Tamandua tetradactyla: one gene and its partners. Each later gene encodes a partner of the first gene's protein in a complex. Links are inferred from orthologs where the notes say so. Each region holds a gene or a part of one and is shown on either strand. Other genes may lie near its edges.

Region 1 (7,425 bases):
CTTTTAATCTACATTTTCTCCCTAGATGATTTCATCTAGTCTCTTTAGTGATGATCCCTATGTTTATCTCCAGCATGACTTCTTCTCTGCATTTAGTCGACTGCCTAAAAAGCATCTCTACTCGCTTCTCTAACACACAGCATCTCAATACACCCAAAATTCATTTTTTTGTTCTCTCCATCCCCTCATACCTGTTCCTCTACAGCACTTTTCAAGGCAAAAATCTTGGAGACATGGACTCCTCTCTTTCTTACTCATTCCATATCCAACCCATTAATAAATCCTGTCAGCTCTACCTTCAAAAGTATCTTGAAACCCACCACTTTTTATTACCTCCACTACTACCACCCTGGTCTAAGCCACCATCATCTCTTATCTGCACTACTATAAGTCATCATCATTTCTTATGTATACCCTTATATAAGTCATCTTCCTCCTTTCTCCTATAGTTTATTCACACAGTAACTAATTCTAAAATGTAAGATAGATGATGCCATACCTTTGCTCAAAACCATCTAATCTCTTCCCATCATTTTTAGAATAAAGCACAAAGTCTTTCCATTGCCATTAAGACCTTTACATGATCTATCCTGATACTTCTCTCATTTCATTTCATATAACACTGTCCCCTTCACTTACTCTGCTCTGGTCTCACTGACCTTCTTGATATTTCTTTAAAAAGACAAGCACACTCAACCTCAGAGCCTTTGCACTTGATGCCATTCCCTCTGCTTTAAATGTCTACTACATCACTTTATTCAGGTTTTATCACTTTATTCAAGTCTTTGCTCAAATAACTGCCTCCTTAGAGAGGCTTTCCCAGAGCACCCTATATAAAATTGCACTCCTCTGTAACTCTCATCTCTCTCCCATACTTTTTTTTATGGTACCTAATCACCACTACCTAACATCATAATTCATACCTCTTTGCTATATGTTCATTTTCTTTATTCTTCATTAGAATATAAACTCCATGAGGGCAAAGACTTATTTTGTTCACTACCATACCTATCCAACACTTAAAAGGCTGTCAATAAATATTTGTCCAACAAATTAATAACAATAGAAGCTATATTGTTTTCTATATACCATGAATGCTTTCCAGTCTTTACCCTACTTAAGATTTCTGCAGCACCTTCTTGAAACTCTCTCTTTCCTTGGATTGTTAGACCCCCAGTTCTCCCACTCTAATCATTCCTTCTCATACTCCCTTTATGGGTTTCTTTTCTCTACTTTAAATGTGGCCATTCTTCAGAGTCCTCTACTAAGGCCAGGTTTCCTACTTTGAGGTTCTCTATTAAGGCCACCACTTTCTTAGAGCTACACATTCTCCCTGAATGCATCTCTATAATTTTCTTTCCATTTCCTTAAGATTTTAAATTGGATCCAGGCATTATATCCTCATGGGACACTTCTAAATCAGAAAGTAAGGAGAAGGAGTAAAATAAAAGGGTTTTCCTCAAGGGAGCATTCTCCTTTTATTAAGGAGAATCACTCTGAGAAACTCCCTAGAAGACTTCCCTTCATGTCCCCTTGGCCAGAACTGGGTCCAAAGGCAAAAGACACTGAGAAAGCAAGCGTCTGGCAAAGGTAACTGGATTGCCTGATTCATCCGCTGGGACTGAGCACATGAATGCCCTTTAATAAAATTAGGATTCTACCTGGTAAAACAGAATGGGAGAAGGTGGTTTAGGAAGGGCTACCAAGATTGACTTTCACAAAAATAGATATATTTTTGCCCTCTAGTTATGAGAGAAACTTTAAAGAAATAAATGCATAAACAAGATAATTTCAGATTCTATAAGAATTGTAAAATAATAGGATGATATGATAAAGAGTAGTGGGTATATTTTGATACAAAGCTGACATAATTTACTAATAACCTTGAATGTCACAGTATAAGAAAAAGAAAGATGATTTCAAGCTACTATTGATTTCCATTCACAAATGAAGTTCAAGAAAGTTAATTAAGGGCCTAAAGTCACACCATTACTAACCAGCAAAGTCAGAATTTAATACAGTCATATCTTAAATTAAAACCCATATTCTTTTCCTATCCCATCTATCTGTGGAAAAAGCAGAACACAAAATGCATATATATATTGATAACACTGGAAATAAATAAGAATGAAAGGCCAAATATTGTGAAGAACAGTTGTTAAATTGTTGCTATTTGTTATTGTTGTATTTCCCTTTAAAGCTAGTTAAATGAACAAAATATTTTGTGAACTCCTGTGTTTAACCACAATAGGGAACAAAAATAGTTACTGACTCATTAGAACAGTAGCAAATGGCCATGATATTATGTAGCAAAGATGGAAATGGCTCGGATTGCAACAAAGGGTTTCCCACTACATAAAAGTTTAAAAGCAAATAGTTAGGGCTCCAAAAGACTCCAACAAAACAAAGACCTACATAATCAATTAAAAGGTAAGTGATGGATAATAACATGTTCATGCTCCAGTCATTATGTGGTTATTAAATATGGACAAGGTGTATTCATGCATATATAATATAAATAAATAGATCCATATAGGTTTAGTATGTAAAAAAGAAAAAAATGTCAGGTTTTTCTTTCAGGCACTAAAAAGCTATGAAAATAAATTAATTTAGTACCATTCAATGTTTTTCTGGCATTGAGAAACCAGACTTGATTATGTTTAAAGGTCCATTTTGGCTATATTTCTCTGTGAAGCCTGAGCTTTCATTAGGGACCTAAAAAAAATCTAAAATACTTCCTTATCCACAACAGGGGAATACACAGATAACAAGGCTAGCAAAGCTAATGGTTTTAGGACGGTATCTGGGGAGACTTATAGGCCCACAGGAGCAAATTTCTGCAGTAAAAGCTCTGATATTCTGCAGAGAGCTAGGACGAGGGTGGTGCCTGCTTTCAAATGGCTTTCATCCAGAGCAGTTGTCAAAATGGAGTTTAGCTGGGTGGTTCCCCAGCAGTCATTCTTCCAGTCAAAGCAAACTATTTTCTGTATCCTTTTAAGAATAAGGAAGAAAGGGAGGAAGGAATGCCTTAGAGCAATACCCAAATATATTCCTGTCCCCTCTAAGCCAGTTTGGAAAATGTGTACAAATTTGGATTCTGAGTCAAAAACCTTTTAATATGGCTATGAAAAACATTTACCAGAAATAAATGAGAACCTTCTTGTTTGTGTGCCAGGCTCATATGGGTGAATATATACATTAATATCCTTACAAAATATACACAAGTGAATTTGTCTGAAACGAAGGGTGGAGGCTTTACCAAATCTGAATGAGGTGATAACTGAGTATGAACTAGGACTTTTTATTGCCTTCTGTTTTACCTTTTTGTTACTGATCATTGGAGGATTCTTTGAATAGCTCATCTAACAACAACTACAGTACTAGCACTGTACTAGTTGTACTAGTACGATTTTAAAGCCACACCTTAACCCTAACCACCTTCTGAATTTCCAAGGGTTAATAATATAGTTCATGGTCTTGGAATAGTTTCTCCTAAAAAAACAAAACAGAATAACAACAAAAAAACCAGTCCATTCGTTTCTCAAGCTCTAATCAACTGATCTATCTTGAGGTAACATGAAGCAGTCTTATTTACAAAACTCTAAAAAGCATAAAATATCCCTACTTCCTCTTATCCTTCATTGTCAGACAATTTCCTCTACACCCAAGTTTTTGTCCTACTTCCTCAATTCAGCTTTCAAAAGTGAAACGTGTCTTTAAATCTCCTTTTTTAAATGCTCCTAGACTGCTCCATAAAGGTGGTGGCTTTAAGTTTGAAAATGGGCCCTATTCTACCCTTTTAACAGCATCAGTATTCAATCCTTATGTACCATTCTTCGAATCACCGAAATTGTATTCGCTTCGAGTCTTTGGTGCCCTTAGTTTAAAAAACAAGCCGCTACAGTAAATCAAATAAATCTATTACGTTTCCTAAACCTCGCGTCCTCTCCATTATCAAGTAAACATAGAATGCTCTGCCTCTAAAGGAACTAAGAAAAAAGCAAACTCACTGACAAACTGGTAACATGGAAATAATCAGCTAAGCTATCCGGATCGGAAGTTTCCGCATTTTATAACGCATGATTTTGAAAATTGTATGGACTTCTCTTAGGAGGCATCCGAATTGAAGAAAGCCTCCCTTCTCATTCCCGTGCTGGCTCACTTCCTAGTCTGTGGCCGCCCCTCCCCCCCCCATCCTCCGCCTGGGCCCTGGCAGCCATGCGCCACAGACTGCAGCACTCGGACTCGCGGTCCGCAGGCGCCGAGGACTCCGCCGGGTGGGGCCTGTGAGGGGAGGAGGCACCCGACTCGGACTCCGCCCCTGCGGCGGCAGCGCCGGGTGCCGAGTGGGCGCGCTGGGCCGGAGGAGGGGCCCGCGGCCGCAGTACCGCCCATGCCCGCCTCCCTCCCTGCGCAGCTACTTAAGCGGCTCCGGCGCACTCCCCCTCCCTCAGTGCGTTACTTACCTCGACTCTTAGCTTGTCGGGGACGGTAACCGGGACCCGGTGACTCCTCCTGTCGTCTTTGCCTTCGAACCCGTAGCCACCATGGTAAGTGAGCCGCGCACGGCGCCGCTCTCCCTCGAAAAAAAGAGGAAAATCGAGCTGGGAAGACAGGGAGGCCCTCTAGCTACCGAAAGGGTGGGGACCAACGCCGGATATACCAAAAGAAAAAAGCAAGGCGTTAGAGTGACGGTGAAGTAGATGAAAACACGGTTTGTAGAGGTCGGTTGGAACCGGGGAAGAGGAGCCGCCCAGTTTTCTCGAATTTTGCGAGCGGATGGCCGGGCGCGGGCTCTCCTGTGGTTGGGTTGTTTTTCAGTCTCTAACGCCTAGGCGCGGCGTCTCGGCTCCAGTTCAAGACGCAGCCATCTTTTCCCGCGCGCCCTCATACCCCATTTCTTCCCCCGCCTTTGGCGGGCGCGCGCCGGGTCTCCTCGCCCTCAGTTCTCAGCGCCAAAAGCGGGGGCGGGAAAGAGACAAAGGCGCACGCGCGACCGTTACTTTCCCGCCAGTGAGCGGCGGGAAACAGCCGCTGAGATTCGCGCGCGTGCGCACTGGGGTGGAGTAGGAACCGAGGTTTTGCGGCTGGAGGGCGTGTCTCCTTTACTTTAGCTGAGAACAATTCCATGTCCGTGGAGCGGGGTTCTTAGTGTACTATATTACTCCAGTGCAGTAGGAAACTGCATTCTGTAGGGCCCACCTGCCCCTCCCTAGCTTTCCTGCTATGTTAGGAATGCCTGTGGTAACAGGTGGTGGCCATGAGGGATTTTGAGGGAACAGAAATTGGATCTTAGTCCGGATCTGGGCTGATGATAATCCCCTGACAGATGTGGAAGTGCTGGGCTAAGCCCAACGCCCGCGGAAAGGGGAAGATGGGTGGTTACATAGCCATTGCGGGCCTCTGCAGCTGCGCGGCCCCTGCTGCCGCACGGGGGCGCGGAATTGCGCACCCAAAATTGCTCATTCATCCTGAGCCGCAGAGCCCCGCCCATCATCCCTCCTGCAGCACATTTCCTCTGCACTACTCTGGCTACGTATTTCCTGCACTGGGAGCTATCGGGAAATCTGGCCACCTAGCTTGAAGTGGAAGCTTGGTGCCTGGGCGCTAGACCGATGACCTCCTATTCTTTATGGTACAAAAGAAGGAGCTGTGACTAAGCTCTCTTGGTCTGGAAAAGGGTCTTCTCAAATAAGGGGCTGGCTGTTAAAATAATGTAGATTAAAAAATATAACCCTTCTCACCTACAAACAAGAATTTATTATACAAGAAACTTGTAAAGACTAATCAATTCTGATTTTTTCCCCCCCTTTCCACAGCGTGAGTGCATCTCTATCCACGTCGGCCAGGCTGGTGTCCAGATTGGCAATGCCTGCTGGGAGCTCTACTGCCTGGAACACGGCATCCAGCCCGATGGCCAGATGCCAAGTGACAAGACCATTGGCGGAGGAGATGACTCCTTCAACACCTTCTTCAGTGAGACAGGCGCCGGCAAGCATGTGCCCAGGGCAGTGTTTGTAGATCTGGAACCCACAGTCATTGGTGAGTGGAACTCAGTAACCTGAGTGAGATTGCAGGAGTCTGGGACAGGTCTGTTCTGGGGGCTCCATTTATGCCCCCAAGGTTAAGTAGGCTTGTGCAGGTTGTTAGTAATGGGTGGTGCTTTGTTTTCCTTTTCCAGATGAAGTCCGCACTGGCACCTACCGCCAGCTCTTCCACCCTGAGCAGCTCATCACAGGCAAGGAAGATGCTGCCAATAACTATGCCCGCGGGCACTACACCATTGGCAAGGAGATCATTGACCTTGTCTTGGACAGAATTCGCAAACTGGTAAATACCATATGTAAATATATTTTCAGTGGGATGGGAGGATTCTGTTGCAAATTTGAAAGACAAAATACAGCATTCATTCTTTGAAAAGGATGGTCACTATATATTAATTGGGTTTCTAAACCAGATAGTCCCTGGGTTTTGGGCACCACTCTGGGTTGTGTGTATCCTGCCAATTTCTCATGTTTGATCAGTAGAGAGCATTAGATTGATGGCTATATATTTTTATATTGTGATTTAAAATTTAAACCATGTTTTTGAATTTTAAAATAATGCTGAAATACTAAGAAAATGTGACCTGGTGTTGATTTTTTCTTTCTTTTCCTATAGGCCGACCAGTGCACAGGTCTTCAGGGCTTCTTGGTTTTCCACAGCTTTGGTGGGGGAACCGGTTCTGGGTTCACCTCCCTGCTGATGGAACGTCTCTCTGTCGATTACGGCAAGAAGTCCAAATTGGAGTTCTCCATTTACCCAGCCCCTCAGGTCTCCACGGCTGTAGTTGAGCCCTACAACTCCATCCTCACCACCCACACCACCCTAGAGCACTCAGATTGTGCCTTCATGGTAGACAATGAGGCCATCTATGACATCTGTCGTAGAAACCTTGATATTGAGCGCCCAACCTACACCAATCTTAATCGCCTTATTAGCCAGATCGTGTCCTCCATCACTGCTTCCCTCAGGTTTGATGGTGCCCTGAATGTGGATCTGACAGAATTCCAGACCAACCTGGTTCCCTATCCCCGCATCCACTTTCCTCTGGCCACATATGCCCCCGTCATCTCTGCTGAGAAAGCCTACCATGAACAGCTTTCTGTAGCAGAGATTACCAATGCTTGCTTTGAGCCAGCCAACCAGATGGTGAAATGTGACCCTCGCCACGGTAAGTACATGGCTTGCTGCCTGCTGTACCGTGGTGATGTGGTTCCCAAAGATGTCAATGCTGCCATTGCCACCATCAAGACCAAGCGCAGCATCCAGTTTGTGGATTGGTGTCCCACTGGCTTCAAGGTTGGCATTAATTACCAGCCTCCCACTGTGGTACCTGGTGGTGACCTGGCCAAGGTCCAGCGAGCTGTGTGCATGCTGAGCAAC
Region 2 (7,295 bases), on another chromosome or scaffold:
GGGCACTAGGTGGGGATCACATGGAGGGACACACCAGGAACCTCCCAGGGTTCAAATGACATGTGAAGCATATGTAATTCAGTTCATCCTGGGTTTTCCAAGCATGGGTTGTCTGAATTAGGACTGATACACAGGCACCCTGGTTACAGTGAACTATTTTCCTAACAGGGTGGGTGAAAAGCCATTTGTGTGGTCCCTAACTTCTTCTGGAATCCCTGACTTCCTCTTGTTCCATCAGCCCAAGGGTCCACACATGGTCCACCAGGCTTCTAGAATTTCACTTGTGCCCTTCCAATGGGCCAGTGTTCCACCGTACTGATTATTAACATTTACATATCACCCCAGCCCAGGTCTCCTCACCTGCTGCACCTGTTGCACAGGTATTAACTCTGAGACCAGGGCTGTCTCCTGTGTTCTTCATTAGTGCCTGCTGCAGTGACCCACACACAGTCCCTGATTGATGCCCAGCAACTCCTCGAGGCATATGTGAGCCTGCGGGAGCTGGAGCAGCTGAGAGAGGAGACCTGGGCACACCTAGGGGACCTGGAGTTGCCAGATCTTGAGGGGCTAGGCCCTCTGGCTGAGGCACTGGGCCAGGCTGTGGAGATGGTTGCAGGAACTGCAGGACAGCTGGCCCGGGAGGACCCTGCCCTGCTGGTGGCTGCTGTGCGCGTGGCTGAGGTGGAGACTAGACGCACAACTGCCTTGGGGCAGGCCCCCCGGAACTGGCGGCAGCGCTGTCTGCAGGCTCTACAGGACGGCCTGGAGCGGGTCCACTTTGGGACACATCTACTGCCTGGGCCAGGTGCCCTAGCAGAGTGGCTGGAGGCTCTGCAGGTGGCACTGCCAGCCGAGTTGGCCACAGCTGAGGCATTAGTAGCACCCTGCTGCCCACCGCACTACAAGGTGGTCCAGCTATGGGCTCATACCCTGCACAGAGGCCTGCGTCGCAGCCTGCAGCAGGTCCTTGCAGGGCCTGAGCTGGGTGCTGCTGACGCCTTCACCCTTCTGCATTGGGCCCTGCATGTGTACCTGGGGTCAGTGCCCTGAGGGCAGCGGGAAGTGGGTGGATTGGAGACTGGGGACTCATTATGACCCCCAGCTACCCATCTTCAGGCCAGAAATGATGGGGAGTCTGGAGTTAGGGCCAGAGGCTGATGTGTCTCAGCTGGAGCCCCTACTGTCCCTGGAGGATGTGGAGTGGCTGGAGACAACGTTTGTGGCCAAAGTCCAGGTGAGTGGTTGGGGCATGGGTCCAGAGCAGCCCTGATCATTAGTTGTAGGTTTTTGTCTGTACAGTCACTGTCTCTGGCAAGGTCAGTGCGTTGCTACCTCCTGCTGCTTCTTACCCCTTTCCCCAGGCAAGTGTGGCCCAGTGGCTGCAGAAGGCACTGGATGGGGAGGTAGCCAAGTGGGGCCAGGAACAGGAGCCAGACATGGACCCATCCGGCTTCTACTACTCACCAATGCCAGCCATCGTGCTGCAGGTGGGTGGGGGGTGGCCAGGCAGGTGGACAGCCCAGATGGGGAAAGGGGAGGAGGGCAAGGCTATGGGCTTTGCTGATGGCTGCCCATCCCTCCCTGTAGATCCTGGATGAGAACATTCGTGTGACCAGTCTGGTCAGTGAGTCACTGCAGCGGCGGGTATACAGCATGGCACTGTCAGAACTGGGTGCATTCCTGAGGAGGTCTGCCAAGACACTGACCCACTCCCCACCCCCAACCCTGCATCCAGGGAAGACCAAAGGGGCTCATAGTGACATGACACACCAATAAGAAAGGGCACCTTCACACTGGGCCTTGGGTATCTTGGAGGTGGGGCAGGAGTGCCAGGGACTGGGGTCACTCTGGGACACCAGAATGATCACAGATACTGGAGCCACCTCTGCCCACTTCAGCTTCAGTGATGCTCTGATTCGATTCTCCCGAGACCATCTCAGGGGTGAAGCAATGGCCCCTCACTACGTGCCCTACCTACTGGCTGCCCTCAACCACCATTCAGCACTCAGGTACCAGGAGGTTTACACGGAAGACCACCTTCATCTCCTCTTCCCCAGCACCTTTTATGTATGTATCCAGCCCACGCTAGGCCAGTAGGGACTGTAAACTCACATAGCCTCAGGTTCCAATCCTAGCTCTGCTAATTAATAGCTGCAACCTTGGGCAAATTATCTAATCTCTTTGAATCTCAGTTTTCTCATTAGTACTATGTGGGTAATAATTAATGTTCTGAGAAGCACATGAGATAACAGATGTACCTACCACAGTGCCTGGCATAAAGTAGTGCTCAATTAATTATTTGTTCGACAAATATGTATCTAGGTCCAGCTCCGTGCCAGGTAATGTCTGGGATTACAGCTATGAACAAAGCAGAAAAATTCCCTTCCTGTTGGGTCTTATGCTCATTGTGGCGGATGGGTGAGCAGGGAGGTCAGACCAGTTAGTGATTTTTACCGGCTCTTGAGTTTAACTCCCTCCCCTTACGGATGAGAATCAGGAACCTAAAGACACGACTTGCCCAAGGTCACACCTCGAGTTAGAGGCAGGTCGGGTTGGGGCTGAGCCCCTTTGAGCTATCCTTCGCCACCACTCGCAGCCTCAGTTCAGGCCTCTGCCCTTCAGAAGTGCAGGGAGAAGCCGGTTCGCCTCCTCACACCACATACATGCGCCACTAGGTGGCGCCCGATTGGCTGGACAATCGGACCCTGCGGGCCTTGGCCTTGGTCCTGAAGCCTTATTTTTCGTCGGTCAGCTCCTCACTGCCGGCCCTGCAGCCCGACGGGGTGGCTTCAGGGGCCTTGGCACCTTTGGAAACCGCCCTGGACGAGTTGCAGAGGAGGATCTACCGCCTGGTGCTGGAGGTGCTGCTGGTGGAGCTCCAGGTGAGGCTTCAGTGGGGATGGAGGTGGGAGGTGAAGCACATGTTGGAGGGTCTCTGCGGGGAGTGCCGGATCTGGATCGTTCCCCCAGCCCCCCTGCGCCCCCTCCCCGCCCCCAGCCCCTGTTTGCGGGTCTGCCCTCGCGTCAGTGGCTGTCGAGCTCTGATCTACTGGACTCTATATGCGAGCGGACAGCGCTTTTCTGCCGGGATTTCTGGCGCGTGCGATGTCCTACCGTCCAGGTGCGGATGGAGGCGGGAAGGGGTGGGAGGCACGTCGCGGGTGAAAACGGCGACCTGAACTGGCCTGATCACCCTCCCGGCAGCTGCTGCTGGCCGAGGCCGAGCGCACCGTGGTGCTGCAGTATCTACACGCGCTAATGCAAGGCCGCCTAGTATGCCGCTACTCCGATGAGCGGACCCAGGCGGCCGAGCGCCTGCGACAAGATGCCGCCCAGCTTCAGGAGCTCTTCCTCGGTTTGGTGAGGGCGCGGGGTGGGGGGTCGGGGGAGAAGGGGGCGGGTGGGTGCATGGGGATCTCGGGTGGTTGGATGGGGGGCGGGTGCGAGACCCTACCCGACGTGCGCAGGGCCTGCAGGAGAACGCGCAGTGCACACCGGTGCTGCTCGCTCTGCGGGAGCTGCTGAACCTCCGCGACCCCACGCTGCTCAGCCTGGAAGTGGCAGGCTTGCGGCAACAATTTCCCGACGTGAGGTGCGAGCCTGAGGTGGGGAGGGAGGAGGAGCCGTGGAGGGACTAGTCTGACGCGCTTCCTTGGTGCCCCCGCAGCGAAGATCACATCTCCGCCCTCCTGGACCTACGCGGGGACGTGTCCCGAGAGCAGCGCCTGGCCGCCCTCAGCTCCCTGCAGGCCGGCCCGCCGCCCTCGCCCCTAGCTGGCCGCCACGCACTCTTCAGCCTCGTGGCCGCGCCTACGCCCGCGCAGTCCTCCTGCCTCCCGTCGGGGCCCTGTGCTTGATGCCCGGCGGCCCGCGGTATAAAGCCACAGCTCCCGCGCGCCTGGATCTATGTGTGCTGGGGAAGGGGGAAAGAATTAAAAGTGCCCGCGAAGGGTAAGGGGTCCACGCACATTGACACCTCTAAGGTATCCTGGCTCCTGACTGCGCCTCCACCTGTCCGAGCATCGACCCCGTGTGTGAAGTGTGTTCCCAAGTTCCCGAACCCTTGCCCCTCTGCGCGGACTACGCCCCCAATATCCCGTGCAGGGTCGGAGAGCCTCAGTAGCTTCCGCCCTGCAGAGGGCCGGGTCGCACCGGGAGCCCTGAAACAGCCCTAGCTCTCGCTGAGGGGGCGGACCTAGGAGGAATTCCCCGCCCATGGGCGTGGCCGATATGAGGGCACCGCCCCCTTGGCCTCGCTTTGCCCTGCGCCGGGCTGTGGTCTCGGGAGCGCGCCGCCAAGAAGGCTGACGTGAACCCGCGCGCCTTCGTGTAGGCAGGCGTGCGCCCGAGTGCGTGCGTTGCCGGCGTCGGCTCCCGCGGACTGGGCGGGCAGCTACCGGCATCGCAGAGCGGGAACGGCGGACAAAAGAGCTGACAGGTGGGGGGGCGCGGCACGCGACGGGACACCTCAGAGAGAGGACGAGTGGGCGCGCGACGCGGTCCTTCCTCATCTAGCACAGAACCCCTCCATTGTCCTCCGGCCCCGCCCTCCATTGGCCCCGCCCTTCACCCATCCGTCGCCATTTATTGGCTGCGGGTCACGCCCCTCCACGATCTCTACCCTTATTGGCCCTTCTTCCACGTTATCCTCTTCCCGGGTCTCATTGGTGCAGGCCACGCCCTCTCATTTGTCAGCAGATCCCGCCTTCGGTAATTGGAGGCTCCTCCCCCTTCCGTCCGTTCATTCATTCTGCATCTAATGTTGGGTGCTTGGGAAATGGGGGCGAATCAGACCCCTCCCTGCCCTTGGGGAATTCAGCGGATGGTGGGGAGACACGGACGCAGGCTCCGGCAGTGACAGTCCGAGGCGGTGGAGAAGCCCGCTTAGGCACTGGGGAACCTCTAGACGCCGGGAAGGCTCCCGGATGGAGGTGAGGCCTGAACTGAGCCCTGAAGGATGGTTAGGAGTTTGCTCCAGGGAGACATTGGGAGGGCGTTCCTGGTGGAAGGACCTCAGACATGAAAGAAACAGGTGTATGCTGGTGATTGCAAGGAGGTAGGTTAAATGAAAGAAGGGGACATGGAGAGGACTGCTCCAGATATGGGGGGGGGGGGGGCGTGTCCAGTAAAGTGCCCAGTTAGTTGAAGGTGGTAAGTTGAAGCCTTTTCAAGTAGCTGGTCACTAGGCTGTGGGTGTGGGTATGGATGACATACTGAGGGGGACAATTAGGCTTGATGGAACAAGGTACAGGGGAAGAAATTATTCTGAGAAAGAGAAGGACTCCTGAGTTGCTTTATTGAGCAACCCCTCTGGGTCAGGCACTGCTCTGGGTTCTGAGGACACAGCTGGGTTCTGAGTGAACACTGGAGACGAGGAAACAGGTAACTATCAAACACATGTCCTTCAGATGATGATAACCGCTACGGAGAAAAATAAGGCAGGGAAGAGGAGACAATGGTAGAGGAAGGAGGAAAGTTACTATTTTATAGGGGGTGTGTTCAGGAAGGCTTTTCTAATAACGATAATTTGTGTGAAGATGTGAAGAAAGTGAAGGAGTGACCCAGGCACTTGAAGTGGGGAAAGCATTCCAGGAAGGGGACTTGTTCGGTTTGAGAAGCCCGTGATATAGTCAAGTGAAGATGTTGCATTGAAAACTGGCAACACTGGTTTGAAGTTTATGGAAGAAGTCTGGGCTGATGTATTTTAAAGCCATGAGAGTGGAGGAGGTCACAGGGGGAGTGAGTATAAATGGGGGAGAGGAGAGAAAAGTTTCCATATACAATTCTGGGGTCCTTACTGTGTTAGGAGGTCGGAAAGATAGGGATGAACCAGCAAGGGAGACCAAGGAGAAAGAGCCAATGAAGTAGGAGGAGAACCAAGTTAAAGTGTTCCGGAAGCCAAGTAAACAAAGTGTTTCTAGGAGGAAGTGATTACCTGTATCAGGTATTGCTGCTGAATATGAACACCATTGGTGACCTTGATCAGATCAACCTGCACAGAGAGTGGGGGACAGTAAAAGCTTAATTGGAGCATATGTAAGAGAGAACAGGAAAGAAGGAACTGGACAGAGTGTGGACAGCTCTTGAGGAGTTGTGTTGCAATGAGGAGCAGTTGGAGGGACATTCAGTGGGCAAAGCTGGAGAAGTGTGGGGCCAAATGAGGGTTTTGTTTTATCTTTTAAGATGGAGAAATAACAGCATATGTTTATACTGATGGAAATAATCCAGTAGAAAGGAAGAAATTGATGATGTAGGAGAAAGAAATGCTGGCAGGCAAAAGATTGGCTCAGAGGCTGGAGCCTTCAGTCAGTCTCTGGGGAGAGACTGGATTGGACTGAGTCCTGGCACAGAGTCAAGGGGTGAGTGTCCCCACATTGGCCTTGGATGATCCCTGGGAAGATGCCTCAGGGGGGTGAACTTCAGATAGAGGGGCAGGCCAGGGAGTGGCTGGGATTTGCTGAAATTTCCTCCCACCTCCCCAAAAGCTGATTCTAATTTGGACTTAAAGAGATGGTCCAGAGGAGAGAGGGCATTCCAGGTGGAGGGGCTAGCATAAGCAAAGGCCACTCAGGCAAGCACGGGATGGATGGGAGGAGGTGGGCGGAGCCAGGTGGGAGGGGAGAGGTGGGGCTGAGAAGATGCCATAAGCCCTGAGGCAGCTGAGGCCCTTCACCAGCCATCCATCCACGCAGCTCAGGCTGCACCATACCAGCTTCCAGACATGGTGGGTGCTGAGGAGCCATTAGAACCATGAGTAGGGAGACAGTCCTGCCTGCAGGAGCTCACAGACTGAGGGGATTCCAGTAACCACCATCTGGGTTGGTGTACAAGACCATTCCTCCTGCTTTCCCCTAGCTCAGCCTGCTTGGATGGGCCTGCAGGAGGGGAGGGATGCTGGGCTGAGGGTGGGGGACAGTCACTCAGACCCCTGGCAGCAGGCCCTGAGCGCAGCAAGATAGTGCAGAGCACAGGGCCTGCTGGTCCTCAGGCCACACCACTCACACTGGCCTTTACACGCCCTTCTGTGTCCCCAGAGGTCAACAGTGAGGGGAGTTGGAGTGACATAGCTGAATGTGACCCCCAGGACAGAATGGTGCTGGACTCAGAGACCCAAGTGTTTGAGCGGGCACCCCCCAGCCCACCTGCCAGTCCCCTGTCCCTGCGCAACAGCTTGAAGCATTCAGACCGAGATGGGCCACCGCTGTACCCCTGGCCTCGGTCCCTGGCCTTGCCCCTGGCTCTGTCAGTCTCCTCAGCCGTGCAGCACCGGCCTGAGCTGCAGCCTCTCTCAGAGC
Region 3 (6,947 bases), on another chromosome or scaffold:
TAAACTTTACTACCAGGGAAAACCCAGACACTGTATCAAAAATTAGGGACACCCAAATCAATAGGCCAAACCCTTGATCTTGAGGCTTGCTCTTGTGAAGCTCATGTATGCAGCAAAGAAGCATAGCCTACCTATATGTATGCCTAAGTGCCACTTCCCCAAGGACCTCTTTTGTTGCTCAGATGTGACCTCTTTCGCTTGCTCTCTAAGCCCAATTCTGTAAGTGAAACCACTGCCTCCCCACTACATTGGACATGACATCCAGGGATGAAAGTCTCCCTAGCAGCATGGGAGATGACCCCCAGGGATGAGTCTGGCTCGGGTACCAAGGGATCAACAATGTCATCCTGACGAAAAGGGGGAAAAGAAGTGCAACAAACTCTCTCAGTGGCTGAGAGAGTTCAAATAGAGTCAAGAGGCTACTCTGGAGGTCACTCTTACACAAGCTGCAGTTAGACACTGCTGCTATCATAACTTGCCAAACCCCAACCAAAACCATTCCTGCCAATCCTAAAGAATACTTAGGGCATATACGAGAATCTACAAAGGTTCTATGCACTAGGGCAACATTCCAGAAACCTACAATCTCCAGATGGGTCCCTGGACCAGATAAGTCCTGAAATGCAGAGAGGCCAGCCTCTCCAGAACATCAACTAGTTCCATGCCCCTACCCTACATTATCAACAGCCCCTTCCAACATGAAAAAATTAGACTGGCCATAGCCCAAATACCCCTAAAGAGTGAGAGGAAGATCAAAGGTGATGTAGGAGTTATACAGAAAAGATAGGGTTTAAAAAATGAGTGTGAGTGCTGAATCAGCATACTGATATTTCTTTTAGTCTCCAGTACCTTAGAGCAGCTAGAAATAAAAACCTAAAATTGTGGAATTGTAACCCATATCAAATTCTGAAATCTGTTCTACAACTAATTGTTGCAATGTACTTTGAAATCTACTGCTTTGTGTTTATATGTTTTCTTTCACAAAAAGGAAAAAACAGAGAAAGAAAAGTATATTAAAGAAGATAGAATTTAAAAAATGAATATGACCGCTGAATCAGTATACTGATATTTCTTTTGATCTCCAGTGTCTTGGAGCAGCTAGAAGAAAAAAAGAAAAATCATGGAATTGTAACCCATACCAAACTTTAAAATCTGAGGTATAATTACTTGTGAAAATGTACCTGGAAATTTATTGCTTTTATGTATAAATATTTTTCACAATAAAAAAAAGTTTTAAAAAAAATACTAAAGCAATGGGTTTAATCCCTATAACCTACAAAACGTGTTTGTCCTTATGACTAATTCAAGTCTAGCTGTGACACAGGCTACCAGCTCCAACTGCTGAAACCCTGCCGCAAGGGAAATGCCTGTTCAGCAAGCTTTCAAAACTGGTCAACTAAACTCTTTTCTGAAAGGGTTCTCTCTCTTCTTTTAGGCTTTCATCAGAATAAAGGCAATGTTTTCTTAGAATGCAAACTTTAAATTAAACGCAGGATTACACAAATACCCTTAATTTTGTACCAAAAACAAAGCACCTGAAGTTATTCCATAAATTTGATTATAATTTAACTATGAGAAGCACTTGATTTGTAAAGCTCTGAGAGCATGAAATGACAGAGTCGTAATCCACTAAGAATATCAGGACCTTACAAACTGGACTCAATAACAAGGTCACCCAGTTCTCCAAAACTGGTATCAACCAAAGATGACCATTATGATTGCACACAATCCATTTAGAAAGTAATTTCCAGTTGGGGGATTCACAACTCATGTTTTCTAATTTAAGTACCAAATTCCGTCAGCGAATGGCTCCCGAATCAAGGGTTTGACGACTGATGCATGCCTTACCATCCTCTAGTGCCCCCCCCCCACCCGTGCAAGTCAGAGAAGCTTCTAGACCACAGCCCTGAGCACCCCCAACATCACCTGCCCTGCACTCCAGACGAAAGCCCCATGCCTTGCATGGCCGCTAAAGGTTCCAGGACATTCCTGAAACAGGAGCGCACCCAGGGAGTTGGAGAGCAGAGCTAGGGACCCCATGCTCTCCCCAGGCCACACCAAGGTGTACAGAGGACCAGGACATGGGAGGAGACACATTCGCACTGGCCCGCGCTAACCCGGCGCTGCCTCCAGAACCCGGTGTCGGCCTCGGAAGGTACCCATAGCCCAGGACGGTGCCCGTAGCGCGGGACGCTGTCCATCAGCCTCCGACGGTGCCTGTAGCCCGGGACGGTGAATGCCAGTCCCCGACGGTGCCACTCAGCCCCCATGCACGTAGCCCCGGATGGTGCCCATCAACCCTCTCCCCGCCAACTATGCCCGTCAGCACCGGACCGGGCCTGTCATTATTCCCCGACGGTGCCCGTCAGCCGAGGACCGGGCCTGTCATCCCTCGAGGAAGCCTGTCATCTCCAGACGGTGCCCGTCGCCACCGACGGCGCGGTCGGACTCGGCACAAAGGCCCGCCCCGCCCTTCCCGACCCCGGCCCGTCCCGGGCGCGGCCCACCTAGGCCATAGGCCTTGGCGCAGATCCACTGGAGGTTGGCGGCGATCTTGGCCCTGGCCGAGTCGTAGCGGTCCAGCGGCACGATGTCCACGGCACCGTCCGGCGGAGCCTCCATCTTCCTCCAGGCGCCCTCTCCCGCCGAGCAGCCCCCGGCGTCCACCATCTGCAGACAAAAAGGGCCGGGCTGCGGTGCGCGCGGCCTCCTCTCCCCCGACCCAGCCCGCGGCCGCAACAAAGGCCCGGCCGGCCGCGCCGCCCTCCCGGCGGGGCCCAGATGCAAGCGAGGAGGCCGCGCGCGCCGGTCCACCTGCCGGTCCGCACCGCCCTCCCAGCGGGGCCCAGGTGCAGGCGAGGAGGCCGCGCGCGCTGGTTCACCTGTCGGGCCCACCTGCCCGCCCGCCCGCGCCGCTCCGGCCTCACCTCAGAGCCGCCGCCGCCGCCGCCGCCGCCGCGGCTGCCTCATGCTGCAGGGCCGAGACCTGAGGCGCGGGCAGGGACAGGGCCCAGGCAGGCGGCGATGGCGGGCGGGCGCGCGGGCGGGCGGGGGCGCGGGCGCGGTCCCGGCGCTGCCAGGCGAGGACGGCGGCTCTGAAGGTTCGCGGACAACGGCGGGGAGCGCGCGCGACGCCGCGACGCCTGCGCAGGCGCAGTGGGCGCGGCTTCGACCCTCGCCCCGCCCCCTCCCGCCCCTTCCCGCAAGCGCTGAGGCTGCTAGCCGGGAGCCGGCTGGGGGTCGTGGCTGTGGACCGATTCCCGCGGAGCTCCCGGCGTTCCATTGTCTGCGCCCTGCCGCGCCCTCCCGGGAGTTGGGGATGTCCGGGCCAAGGCCGACCCCCAGCTGCCGCCGTCTGACGGGGCCGAGCCCGAGAGACCCCTGCGCTCCTGGAGGGCCTGGGCCGCCCCGGGGTACCGCGCGATCCCGGCCCCTTGCCGCGGGCCGACAGCAACCTCGGAATGCAGCGGCCCGGGTGGGCGGGAGCTCCTGGAGCCCGCTGTCCCCCACCCAGGAGCAGTCCCGAGACCCGCGCACCCTGGAGCAGAGCTTAAAACCCGAGAACCCTTCTCCCAAGAGCAGCGCTCCGAGCCCAGGCACCCACTACCCCGAAAGGCGGTCGGAGCTTGGGAATCCCTCTGAGCAGAGCTTGGAACCCAGGGACCCTACACACCGAGAGCAGCCCGAGACCCCTACATCCCCTGAGCACCCCTTGAAGCCAGGGACCCCCACCCCCCAAGTGCAGCGCTCGGAGCCCAGGCATCCTCCCACACCCGACGCAGCGCTTGGAACCTGACACCTCCCCTCCGGCGCAGCGCTTTGGACCCGAGGACCCCGCCCCGAGAGCGCTCTAGGCCCCTAGGTGCGCGGTCCAGAAGCGCCCTGAGCGGACCGGCCCACTGCCCACTCAGCCGGGCCATGGAGTGGGGAGCTTGGAACAAGGGACAAATATCGGCATCCTTCGAGGCCAGTGCAGAAGAGGCGCTGGCTGCGAACTAATAAAATCCGCACCCAAGGGCCCGTGTCAGGTTCCTAACTGTAATTACACTGACGCTGGGAGCCCTTGTATGCACATGGCCGTCTGCGTGGGCTCCAGAAACGCACACCTCAGTGTAAGGAGCCCTGACAGTGGGGCCGGCTTACCCTCAGCCTCCGGGTTGAGAATTCCACTAACCTCTCTTCACCACTTCTGAAGCATCTAAAGCTCAGAGGGCTCAGCCACTGTGCAAAAATACTACTCTTGTGCACAGGAGCATAGCAGTGAATGAAATCAATTCTCTGCCCTCCCTGTGGGGCTGGCATTCTAGTAAGGCGAGAAAACAGAATATATACTGCATTAAACAGTGGGAGCTATGGAGGGGAAATAAAAGGTGAAGGAGGAACGCGGAGGACAGGGTAGGGAAGGAAAACCTTAAGGGAGGCATCTCTGAGCAAAGAAGACCTGGAGTAAACGAGGGGCAGTGTGAGGATACCTGGGAAAGTGGAGCTTAGGCAAGGATGCAAAGCTCCTGAGTGGGAGTCTGCCTGGCATACGGAGGAGACCCCTGAAACTGGAACCCAACAGGGAGAAACCAGGAGGAAATGGGGTGGGGGTGGGGGGACTTGGTGGCGGCAGATCTCGCCCAGTGAGAACTTTGCCCTTTCCTTGGTGTTGGGGGATTAGGCAGGAGGGTTTCCGATGTGATGGACCCTTGACGAGGATCCTCTGGGTCCTGGGAGAAGAACATGTTGTAGGGAGGGCAAGAGTGAAGGCGAGGACCGGCTTGGGGGTGGGAGTTCAAATGCCTCAGGTCCAAGGTGGCCATACTGGGCCTGGGGTGGGCGCTGGATCTATGTTGGAGGGAGAGTTGTCGGGAGAGGTGGACAGCTTGGATGTGAGAAAAAGGTGTCCACAATGATTCCAAGGTTTTTTTTTATGTTGACTGTGTATCCTGCAAAATTGCTGAGCTCATTTATTAGTTCTAATGGTTTTTTCAGTGGATTAGGAGGAGTTTCTACATACAAGGGCAAGTCCTTTGCAAATAAAGATAGTTCACCTCTTCCTTTCCAATCTGGTTGCCTTTTTGTTTCATTTTCTTGCCTAATTGCTCTGGACAGAACCTCCAGGACAGTGCAGAATACAAGAAATGAAAGCACCTGTCTCTATCTTGGTTCTGAGCTCCGGAAAATCAGCTATTCCTTCACGATTAAGTATGATGTTAGCTTTGCATTATTCTTTTTTTTTTTTTTTGCAATGTATTTATTATTTTTTAAGTTACTTCATAAATATTTTAAATTTTTGTTTTTAATTCCTACTAGGATAAATATCAATAGATATAATCTACATAAACAAAAGCTCTCTGAGGGTCTCTATAATTGTATGTTTATTTCTTTGTGGGTTTAGGGGACATTACCTGATATAGGCTATCACAAGAGAAAAAGTTATTTGAAGTCGCCTTTCATATTTCTGCATTCTACCATGTTATTTTCCCATTAGTGTAAGTGCTAAAATAATTTTTTTTTTCATTTTATTTTAGGGAAGGAAAGAGGGAAGAAAAAGAAAGAGAGAAAAGAAGGGAGAGAGGAGGAGGAGAAGAAGGGGGAGGAGGGAGGGTCATGTGGTCAGGAGAGCACCACATTCCCCATATGTCCCCAAAATCTTTGTCCAGACCACACCAGAGCAAAATATCAGAGCAAGCTGCACCGACTTTCCACTTCTTGGCCTTGTTTTCAGAGGAACTCGTTCGGCTCACCTGGGCCCTGACATTGTCATCTTCACCTGAGTCACAATATCGAGATCAGACAGTATGTGTCCTTTTGTGTCTGGCTTATTTCACTCAGCATTATGTCCTCCAAGTCCATCCACGTTGTCATGGGCTTTGGGACCTCATTTGGTCTTACTGCTGCATAATATTCCATCATATGGAAATACTACATTTTGTTTATCCACTTTTCCGTTAATAGGCACTTGGATTGTTTCCATTTTTTGGCAATTGTGAACAGTGATGTTTGGCTATGAACATCAGTGTTCAAATGTCTGTTCATGTCACTGCCCTCAGCTCTTCTGGGTATATACCGACTATTGGTATTGCCGTGTCATAGGACAACTCAATATTTAGTTTTCTGAGGAATCACCAAACTGTCTTCCATAGTGGCTGCACCACTATACATTTGCAGCAGCAGTGAGTAAATGTTTCCATTTCTCCATATCCTCTCCAACATTTGTAGTTTCCTGTGTGTTCAATAGCAGGCATTTTTATAGGTGTGAGGTGGTATCTCGTAGTTTTAATTTGCATTTCCCTTGTAGCTAAGGAAGATGAGCATCTGTTCATGTGCTTTTTAGTCATCTGTATTTGCTCTTTGGAAAAATGCCTATTCGTATCTTTAGACCATTTTAGAATTGGTTATATTCTTTGGTTGTTAAGTTGTATGATCTCTTCATGTACGTGGGATATCAAACTTTTATCTGATGTATGGTTTCCAAATAATTTTTCCTATTGAGTTGGCTGCCTCTTCACCTTTTTGACAAAATCCTTTGAGTCCCAGAAGCTTTTGATTCTGAGGGGCTCCCATTTATCTATTTTATCTTTTGTTGCTTGTGCTTTGGGTGTGAAGTTCATGAAACTACCTCCTATTATTAGGATTTGAAGATGTTTCCCTATGTTTTCTCTTAACGTTTTATGGTACTGGCCCTTACATTTATGTCTTTGGTCCACTCAGAGTTAATTTTTATGTAAGGGTGTAAGACGTGCTGTACTGGTTTGAAAGGATTATGTACCCTAAAAAAGCCATGTTTTAATCCTGATCCATCTTGTGGAGGCAGCCATTTCTTTTAATCCCTATTCAGTACTTTAGATTGGAAGCTTGATTCGATTTATCTCCAGGGAGATGTGACACACCCAATTCTGCATATTAACCTTTGATGTAACTCCACCCATTCCAGGTGAGTCTTGATTAGTTTACTGGAA

The links. Proteins that work in one complex are often made in the same cells at the same time.
Region 2: the proteins of tubulin alpha-1B chain (region 1) and MATCAP1 are in contact, whole or in part, in a cryo-EM structure (PDB 7Z6S), measured with the Homo sapiens proteins. The link is inferred for Tamandua tetradactyla from reciprocal best matches to the Homo sapiens genes TUBA1B and MATCAP1. Residues at the interface, in NP_006073.2 of Homo sapiens: Asp345, Trp346, Arg422, Glu423, Ala426, Ala427, Glu429, Lys430, Asp431, Glu433, Glu434, Val435, Gly436, Val437, Asp438, Ser439, Val440, Glu441; in NP_001035805.1 of Homo sapiens: Lys219, Cys220, Trp223, Val226, Arg227, Gly237, Glu238, Val239, Val240, Val241, Gln242, Leu243, Met253, Met254, Val255, Glu256, Asn257, Ser258, Arg259, Pro260, Thr261.
Region 3: the proteins of tubulin alpha-1B chain (region 1) and CAMSAP1 are in contact, whole or in part, in a cryo-EM structure (PDB 6QUS), measured with the Homo sapiens proteins. The link is inferred for Tamandua tetradactyla from reciprocal best matches to the Homo sapiens genes TUBA1B and CAMSAP1. Residues at the interface, in NP_006073.2 of Homo sapiens: Lys112, Glu113, Asp116, Val409, Gly410, Glu411, Gly412, Glu415; in NP_056262.3 of Homo sapiens: Ser1471, Ser1472, Lys1473, Lys1557, Ile1568, Pro1569, Ala1570, Ser1574, Val1575, Ser1576.

What each region holds. Positions count from the first base shown.
Region 1 is NC_135333.1:110,001,184-110,008,608, reverse strand, and holds the start of tubulin alpha-1B chain, read left to right. Parts: upstream 1-4,415; 5' UTR 4,416-4,547; coding exon 4,548-4,550; intron 4,551-5,819; coding exon 5,820-6,042; intron 6,043-6,181; coding exon 6,182-6,330; intron 6,331-6,660; coding exon 6,661-7,425. UniProt on the Homo sapiens protein: Tubulin is the major constituent of microtubules, protein filaments consisting of alpha- and beta-tubulin heterodimers. Microtubules grow by the addition of GTP-tubulin dimers to the microtubule end, where a stabilizing cap forms.
Region 2 is NC_135342.1:60,877,060-60,884,354, reverse strand, and holds the start of MATCAP1 (microtubule-associated tyrosine carboxypeptidase 1), read left to right. Parts: upstream 1-4,281; 5' UTR 4,282-4,438; intron 4,439-4,545; exon of another isoform or gene 4,546-4,931; intron 4,932-4,937; exon of another isoform or gene 4,938-5,056; intron 5,057-5,268; exon of another isoform or gene 5,269-5,382; intron 5,383-6,183; 5' UTR 6,184-6,359; intron 6,360-7,034; 5' UTR 7,035-7,090; coding exon 7,091-7,295. Other genes in the region: EXOC3L1 (exocyst complex component 3-like protein), read left to right, coding at 425-1,037, 1,117-1,234, 1,362-1,487, 1,588-1,688, 1,899-2,009, 2,753-2,882, 2,999-3,121, 3,205-3,360 and 2 more. UniProt on the Homo sapiens protein: Tyrosine carboxypeptidase that removes the C-terminal tyrosine residue of alpha-tubulin, thereby regulating microtubule dynamics and function. Also able to remove the C-terminal phenylalanine residue of alpha-tubulin TUBA8.
Region 3 is NC_135328.1:125,414,074-125,421,020, forward strand, and holds the start of CAMSAP1 (calmodulin-regulated spectrin-associated protein 1), read right to left. Parts: upstream 3,015-6,947; 5' UTR 2,928-3,014; intron 2,671-2,927; coding exon 2,508-2,670; intron 1-2,507. UniProt on the Homo sapiens protein: Key microtubule-organizing protein that specifically binds the minus-end of non-centrosomal microtubules and regulates their dynamics and organization. Specifically recognizes growing microtubule minus-ends and stabilizes microtubules.